2 linked regions of the Cricetulus griseus genome follow. The protein of the gene in region 1 interacts with the protein of each later gene in a biochemical or structural test. Links are inferred from orthologs where the notes say so. Each region holds a gene or a part of one and is shown on either strand. Other genes may lie near its edges. The genes, in order: Lcat and Apoa1.

What was found.
Region 2: the proteins of Lcat (region 1) and Apoa1 form a complex in vitro, tested with the Homo sapiens proteins (6 studies listed by BioGRID and IntAct, with this or other methods). The link is inferred for Cricetulus griseus from reciprocal best matches to the Homo sapiens genes LCAT and APOA1.

What each region holds. Positions count from the first base shown.
Region 1 is NC_048596.1:182,228,711-182,233,311, reverse strand, and holds the start of Lcat (phosphatidylcholine-sterol acyltransferase), read left to right. Parts: upstream 1-1,612; 5' UTR 1,613-2,100; coding exon 2,101-2,480; intron 2,481-2,556; coding exon 2,557-2,672; intron 2,673-2,766; coding exon 2,767-2,862; intron 2,863-2,944; coding exon 2,945-3,169; intron 3,170-4,313; coding exon 4,314-4,601. UniProt on the Homo sapiens protein: Central enzyme in the extracellular metabolism of plasma lipoproteins.
Region 2 is NC_048597.1:157,966,384-157,970,141, forward strand, and holds Apoa1 (apolipoprotein A-I), read left to right. Parts: upstream 1-1,525; 5' UTR 1,526-1,655; coding exon 1,656-1,710; intron 1,711-1,898; coding exon 1,899-2,052; intron 2,053-2,546; coding exon 2,547-3,144; 3' UTR 3,145-3,205; downstream 3,206-3,758. UniProt on the Homo sapiens protein: Participates in the reverse transport of cholesterol from tissues to the liver for excretion by promoting cholesterol efflux from tissues and by acting as a cofactor for the lecithin cholesterol acyltransferase (LCAT).

The sequences.
Region 1 (4,601 bases):
CCATTCCACCTGAACTAGAACCAATCAGTGCCCATTTCCCAGAGGCAGGGTGGTCATGTTAGACCCAGTCAGGCCCCCATTTTCCCAGGGTATCAAGGATACACCCTCTGATTGTCCTCAGGCCCAGCTGGTCAAAGACAGGCACTCAGCCCTGCGGCTAGAGAGCCTTTACTCAGATGAGGAGGATGAGGCTGCAGCAGGGGCTGACAGGATCCAGATGACATGGACCAGAGACAAGTACATGCCTGAGCCCTGGGACCCTAGCCATGCCCCCGACAACTTCCGGGAGCTGGTGCACATTAAGCCGTGAGTACAAATGACGTTGAGGAGGAGTGGGAACAGGCAAACTGTGCAGATGAGCCAAGGACAGAGACCTCTTTGCTAGTTAGTTCTCAGTAGCCTGTGATCAGTTGCTTTGTCTGCAGGGATCAGTCCAATGTACGGCGCATGCACACTGCTGTGAAGCTCAATGAAGTCATTGTCACACGCTCCCATGATGCCCGCCTAGTCCTACTGAACATGCCTGGTCCCCCTAAGAACAGTGAGGGTGATGAGAACTGTATCCTTTTGTGTAAAGGCTGACAGTAGGGAGCTATCCTCTCCTTGAGTGTCCCTGGGTGGCTGGGAAGCAGTAGACTTGGTCCAGTCGCTGCCTCCTTGACCTGATACCCTACAGACATGGAATTCCTTGAAGTGCTGACTGAGGGCCTTGAACGAGTGTTGTTGGTGCGTGGAGGTGGCCGTGAAGTCATCACCATCTATTCCTGAGCCCAGTGGAGTCTCGTGGCCTGGAGTTGGGGTGTCTAGGACAACAGTCCCTACCCCTACACCTACTTGCCAGTTCTGCTTTGCCCAGCCTTGCTTTGGACCAGTTTTGCTAGGTCTCCTGGGAAACCAAGCTTGGACCTGGCAATTTAAATGGATCCGAGGGCCCATGGAGCCTGGGGGATATAGGGATTTTCACCCATACCCCAGTGTAGGCTTATCCTGACTAGAGAAGACTGGTGAGGGTTAATATGGGATTTGAAGTCCCAGTCTGGCCCAGGAGCGCTATTTATTGTATATTTATTGTTTGGATGTCATCATCAGAGAAGAGGGGAGGGATACTAAGAGGGGGAACTGAGCTGGGCCTGCCTGCAGGAAGACCTGGCTCAGGCTGCTGTGGGCAGAGACTCTCATCAAGCCAAGTGGAATGGAGCTGGCCAAGTTGAGCCTGACTTTTTTCAATAAAACATTGTGTATTTCTGGGCGTCCTGCTGCCCCAGCTCTTTTTCCCCTGGCGCCAAGGGAAGAAAGAACTGAACCCAAATCCATAGCCAGATCCCTAAGGCTATGCCCCTTCCTGGCCACCCCCATTGGTGGTTCTGTCCCTCCCACTGGCCCTGGGGCCCCTCCCATCCTCAGTCTAGATAAGACCAGCCTAGGACTGCCTCATCTGGCAGTAGGCACTGGGCTGGAATGGGGCTGCCTGGCTCCCCATGGCAGTGGGTGCTGCTGCTGTTGGGGCTGCTGCTCCCTCCTGCCACCCCCTTCTGGCTCCTCAATGTGCTCTTCCCCCCGCAAACCACGCCCAAGGCTGAACTCAGTAACCACACAAGGCCTGTCATCCTCGGTAAGCCCCCACTAGGCCCCTGATGCATCAAGCAAGACTTTGGGGAGCCTGGGTCTTAGCCCCTGACAGCAGCAGATGCTGTCAAAATTCTTCTGCCCCACCATTAGTGGGTCTTAGCCCCCTCATACCTGTGGGGAAGGGGCAAAGCCTAGTTCTACAGAGATACCACCCCTCTCCCCTTCACACTGTTCTATGTCTAAGTTGTCTTCAGGGGCTTAGGGTTGGGGTGGTGGTCAGTAAATGGGATGTGGTTTGCCTGACCGTAGCCAGGGCACCTCAAACTATGGCCAGCTCCAGATACACTGGATACTAGGTTAAGCCCCACTACTTCCTTGGCTTCTACTTTACCAAGAAGGAGATACCCAGTCCAGTGCCAGATAGCACAAGAGGTCCATAAATGCCTCCCTCCCGTTCTAGGCCCAGCCCATGTTCCCTCGTACCTATTTGTTCTCTCCTTGGACTTTGGCAATAATGGAAAGCCAAGCTGGATGTTTGTTTTGTGGGGGCAGGGGTCAGCGGCTTGGTTCCTGCACCTTCCCTGCCTAAAGGGAGCCTGGATGTTGCAGTACTGGTGGGGCAGTAGGAAGTGTGGTGGAGAGAAGATAGATATGGTTAGAGGGTGTGGGAAATGGAGGGGTGGGCGTTTTTTGGTGGTAGGGTGGGGGGTTGGAGAGAAGCCAAGAAGTCCAGAACAAAAGCTGGTGCCCACAGTGCCTGGCTGCCTGGGGAATCGGCTGGAAGCTAAGCTGGATAAACCAGATGTGGTGAACTGGTTGTGCTACCGCAAGACAGAGGACTTCTTCACCATCTGGCTGGATCTCAATATGTTTCTACCCCTTGGGGTGGACTGCTGGATTGATAATACCAGGTATGTTCCATGTGCCCTACCCATCCTCTACACATTTCCCCTGGTTACTGGTTGCTAAATGTTCCACTGTCCCCAGGGTTGTCTACAACCGCAGCTCTGGGCACGTGTCCAATGCTCCTGGTGTACAGATCCGTGTCCCTGGCTTTGGCAAGACCTACTCTGTTGAGTACTTAGATGACAACAAGCTAGCAGGTGTGTCTACTCAGGGAAAGGAAGGGGCTCTTGGCCATCAGGCTGGCATACAGGTATGATGGACAGAGATCCCTATATTGCTGCCTCCCCACAGGTTACATGCACACACTGGTACAGAATCTGGTTAACAATGGGTATGTGCGGGATGAGACAGTGCGGGCCGCACCCTATGACTGGCGTCTGGAACCCAGTGAGTGTTTACAGGTGGTGGGCTGGGGGCATGACAGGTGGTCCCAGACTCTCATTGCTCTGACCTATCTGCCCATCTTCAGGCCAGCAGGATGAATACTACCGGAAGCTGGCAGGACTGGTAGAGGAGATGTATGCTGCTTATGGGAAGCCTGTCTTCCTTATTGGGCACAGCCTTGGCTGCCTACATGTGCTCTACTTCTTACTGCGTCAGCCTCAGTCCTGGAAGGACCGCTTCATTGATGGTTTTATCTCTCTTGGGGCTCCTTGGGGTGGCTCTATCAAGCCCATGCTGGTCATGGCCTCAGGTGAGGATCCTCTTGATCACTGTCATCCTGGGCAGGGTGAGGGTGGGATGAAACAGATCACAGAGCTGGCTGTCACTCCAGCTGTGCTCAGTGTCCCCAGGGAAATTTTCTGTTCACTAGCTCCTTGAAGACAGCCATTAGGATGTCTCCTTGTAGAGTCTTTTAGTGATGATAAGGGAGGTGATAGAGGAGGCCAATCCAAGTAGTCTGTCAGCCCCAGATTTACTCTTTGTAGGCCCAGATCCTGTATACTCTGGCTTTTAGTTACTTTTCACTCCCCGGAGCACCATGCCCAGAAATCTGTTTTATTGAGGACATATCTACCGCAGCAGGGCCAAACCTAGGGATCCTTTATGCTCTTTTTCTTTTTTGGGGGGTGGCTTCCCTAGGAACCCAACACTAATATAGCCACCATTCACTGATCCCCATTTTCTACTGGGCACAGAAAGACCCAGCCTTCATTGTTAACATCCTCACCAGACTACACCACTGAATCTAAAACAGACACCGTCTAAACCTCCAAAAATACAATCTTGTGACTACTGTGCAGCATAGGCCCTTCACAGGACATTACACACACACACTTCCCAGATCTCTCTCTTTTTTTGGTTTTCCAAGACAGGGTTTCTCTGTATTGCTTTGGAGCCTGTCTTGGAACTCTCTCTGTAGACCAGGCTGACCTCTGCCTCCTGTGTGCTGGGATTAAAGGCTTTCCGCCATCAACGCCCCAGCTGATCTCATTAACTGCTCCTCTTCCAGTACATACCATTTGAGGCCCTATAGCTCTGTCTTACAGAAATATCAACATAGCCTCTTATACAAACATTGAGCACTTAACACCAGGCCTGTTCCAGTCTGTGTCTTGGAATCAAGGTCAGGATGGGGCAGGACAAGTTTTTTGTTGTTGTTGTTTTGTTTTTTGAGACAGGGTTGCTCTGTGGCTTTGGAGCCTGTCCTGGAACTAGCTCTTGTAGACCAGGCTGGTCTCGAACTCACAGAGATCCACCTACCTCTGCCTCCTGTGTGCTGGGATTAAAGGCGTGAGCCACTACCCACCGCCTGGCAGGACAAAGTTTAAGTGCTTCACTGAGGCAAATAGGGAGCCAGGCCCAGCTCCCTGTCCCACCTGGTTCTGTATCCACAGGTGACAACCAGGGCATCCCATTCATGTCCAGCATCAAGCTGAGAGAGGAGCAACGAATAACCACGACCTCCCCCTGGATGTTTCCAGCCCGCCAAGTATGGCCTGAAGACCATGTATTCATTTCCACACCAAACTTCAATTACACAGGCCAAGACTTCAAACGTTTTTTTGAGGATCTTCATTTTGAAGACGGATGGTACATGTGGCTACAGTCACGTGACCTGCTGGCAGGCCTCCCAGCACCTGGTGTAGAAGTATACTGTCTGTATGGTGTGGGTCTGCCCACAC
Region 2 (3,758 bases), on another chromosome or scaffold:
AGCCCTTTTGATGGTCATGGTAGATGGTGAGGTTGTCTTTGGAGGGGAGGCTGGGTAACATATACACATAACAAAAACCCTAGTGGCGCTAAGGTCTAGAATGAAACAATAATAGACTCCTTGACTAGCATGTACAAGGCCTTGGTTTCCATCCCCAGCAAAATAGACACACACAGACACAGACACAGACACAGACACACACGCATGCACGCACACTTTTCTTCCTTCCTTCCTTCCTTCCTTCCTTCCTTCCTTTCTTTCTTTCTTTCTTTCTTTCTTTCTTTCTCTTTCTCCTTTTTTTTGAGACAGGATTTCTCTGTGTAACAGTCTTAGTTATCCTGGAACTTGATTGTAGACCAAGTTGGCCCCGAACTCAGAGAGATCAACCTGCCCCTGCCTCCTGAGTGCTGGGATGAAAGGTGTGCGACACTGTCATCCAGCTATACACACACTTTTTGTTTTGTTTTTGTTTTAGTTTGTTTTTTGTTTTGGTTTGGTCTGGGTTTTTTTTTTTGTTTGTTTGTATGTTTTTGGTTTTTTGTTTTTCAAGACAGAATTTATTTCTCTGTGTAACAGCCCTGGCTGTCCTGGAACTCACTTTGTAGACGAGGCTGGCCTCAAACTCACTGAGATCCACCTGCCTCTGCCTCCCAAGTGCTAAGATTAAAGGCATGTGCCACCACTGCCTGGCCTCACACACATTTTAAAGCTAGGCTTGGTGCCATATTCTAGCGCTTGGAAGGATGTAGTTTGATGTTTTGAGTAGGAGGTAGGCTTAAGCTACACAGAAAGACCTTGGCTCCAAAAGGAAGAAAGGGACGGGGGAGGGATGGAAGGAGGAGAAGGAAGGAGCTGACAACTCCATATTGGCCTCATGTCTTCTGAAGTGTCAAAGGGGTCTTCATCCTCAGCCTGGGCCCCTGAGCCCCTCTGCATTTCACCCAGGCAAGTTCCTGGTGCCTCAGCTGTTCTTGGATTTAGGGATGGGAGGCCTATCAGGCATGTGGCATCTGGAGATAGGCATACGCTACCTGGGGAACCAGGATCAACTTCTTGTAATGCAAGAAAACTTTGGGGCAGGATGTGAATGTAGGAGCCCGAAGTTCCCTACCCCAACCCAACTCCAGGCTCAGAGGACAATTGCAACACATAGGAATACAGGAAGGAGGATGGTGCAGCAGTCATAACTGTGGAGACCCCCTGAGTCTGCAGCCACTCCCCTGCTTCCTCCACCTGAACCCTTGATCCCAGCTCTGCAGCCCCCGCAGCTTCCTGTTTGCCCACTCTGTTTGTCCAGCCCCAGGAACACAGCTGATCCTTGAACTCTAAGTTCCACATCGTCAGGACAAGTAAGCAGAGACAGGGCCAGGGTTGGGCTTATCAGCCTTCCCTCCCGGCCCCTGCCTACAAACATAAATAGGCCAGGGAAGAAGAGCTGGGCACTCAGAGACTGTTGGAGAACTCCAGGGAGGTAAGTGCTGCTACCTGCCCTAGGCTACTCTGGCTCCCTAGTGCCTCACCCACTCTGTGGGTTTCTGGGACCTTTTCCCACTCTAGATGCTTCTTCCACTGGCTTAAAGGTGGGGTGCAAGTGTGGGGCTTCTCTATGACAGAACCCCCCTGCAGCTCAGCAATTCTATTTCTTCAGGTCACCCATGCGGTTCAGGATGAAAGCTGTGGTGCTGGCCGTGGCTGTGCTCTTCCTGACCGGTAGGTGCCTCCAACCCAGGGAGGCAACAATATTGGTGCAGTGGGCTTCTGCTTAGGCCTCCATGGCCTACCTTCCTGGGCACAGAGAACAGAATTCTCTCTGGTCTCCTTCCCAATTCCAAGTCTGACACTGCAGCTCAGACCTCAGCCCAGAGCTGGCCTGACATGTGTCTCCCCTCCATCCCCAGGGAGCCAGGCTCGGCACTTCTGGCAGCAAGATGATCCCCAGACCCCATGGGACAGAGTGAAGGATTTCGCCACTGTGTATGTGGACGCAGTGAAAGACAGCGGCAGAGAATATGTATCTCAATTTGAAACTTCCGTCTTGGGAAAACAGATGAAGTAAGGAAGAAGCCAACCTGGGGCCTGGAGCAGGGCAAGGGTTGTCTATCCAGGGTGGGCAAAGAGGCCTGTGAGAAGATGATGTAACTGAACTAGCCAAATCTTCACCTGCTATCCTACCTTTGGGCACCATGGCAGGGTCCAATGGAGGAATAGGGATGGGACTCACCTGGGTGGTGGGTAACCACAACCCTTCTTTCTGCCTGTGAGTGCAAAAATCTCTTCCCCTGGGTTACCTCTAGTACTGGTCAGCCAGCACAGAAAGGGAACTGGCCTGGCAACAGGCACCAACCCCATCTTTGTCCTTGGTACCTCAGGCCTGGTATACTGAGGAATGTGGAAGGCGGGAAGAGTGTTAGAGGGGTGCGTATTTGGGGGAAACTAGGAACATAGCAACTGCACGTTCGGAGATAGGTGGCACCCAGGACTGCACCAATACCTGGGGCAGTGCAGGATGCCTGAGGCTATCTCTCAGCTGCTCTCTCCTCCTTCAGCCTGAATCTCCTGGAGAACTGGGACACCCTGGGCTCAACGGTTGGTCGCCTGCAGGAACAGCTGGGCCCAGTGACTCAGGAGTTCTGGGATAACCTGGAAAAGGACACAGATTGGCTGAGGCAGGAGATGAACAAGGACCTGGAGGAGGTGAAGGCGAAGGTGCAGCCCTATCTGGACCAATTCCAGAGCAAGTGGCAGGAGGAAGTGGCTCTCTACCGCCAGAAGGTGGAGCCTCTGGGCGCGGAGCTGCGCGATGGCGCGCGCCAGAAGCTGCAGGAACTGCAGGAGAAGCTGACCCCTCTGGGTGAGGATCTTCGTGACCGCATGCGCAAACACGTTGATACTCTGCGCACAAAGCTGACTCCCTACAGCGACCAGATGCGCGAGCGCCTGGCTGAGCGCCTGGCCCAACTCAAGGACAGCCCCACCCTGGCTGAGTACCACACCAAGGCCACCGGCCATCTGAAGGCGCTCGGGGAGAAGGCCAAACCCGCTCTGGAGGACCTGCGCCAGGGCCTGATGCCCGTGTTTGAGAGCTTTAAGGCCAGATTAATGAGTATGATCGATGAAGCCAGCAAGAAGCTGAATGCCCAGTGAGGCGCCCATCTCCACACCCCACCCCTGCATTGGCTTTCTTAGAATAAACTTTTCCAAAGTGGGATGGCTTCTTTCTTTGGGGGACCATAGGGAGAACACTAAAGGGACATCCAGGTTCTTGGGAACTTGGTGCTGCAGTGGGGATTCCTTCATACAGGACTCAGCTCTCCAAGCTCACTCAAGCCTGGCGCATGGCTGGTTAGGAGTGTGAGACAGAATCCCTGTCCTAAGAAGGCTCAGAGGGAAATAGATGGCCAGGCAAAGCAACAGGGAGCCCCTTGAAAAGTACTCCACAGAGGCTCAAACCACTAGTTCTGTAGCCCAGATTGGGAGTGGCTGGGAAAAGAACTGCCTTTAAGAGGACAGGTTTCCTGTGCCTGAAGTGTTTCCAGGTGGGGTTCACCTGGGCAGAGGTTGCAAGCATCTTCCACTCTCTAGAGCCAGGATCCCTCAAGGATTCAGAGACTCGAATTGTTGCCCTAATTGTGCTAATAAAATGCCTGGAGCTTAACATTCTCTCTTTCACAAACCCCAAACCCCTCAGCAAACAATTCTCTTTTTCTCTCGGCAAGATTCCCACGCAGTCATCTCCCCACCCAAAAACTGGCCTACTG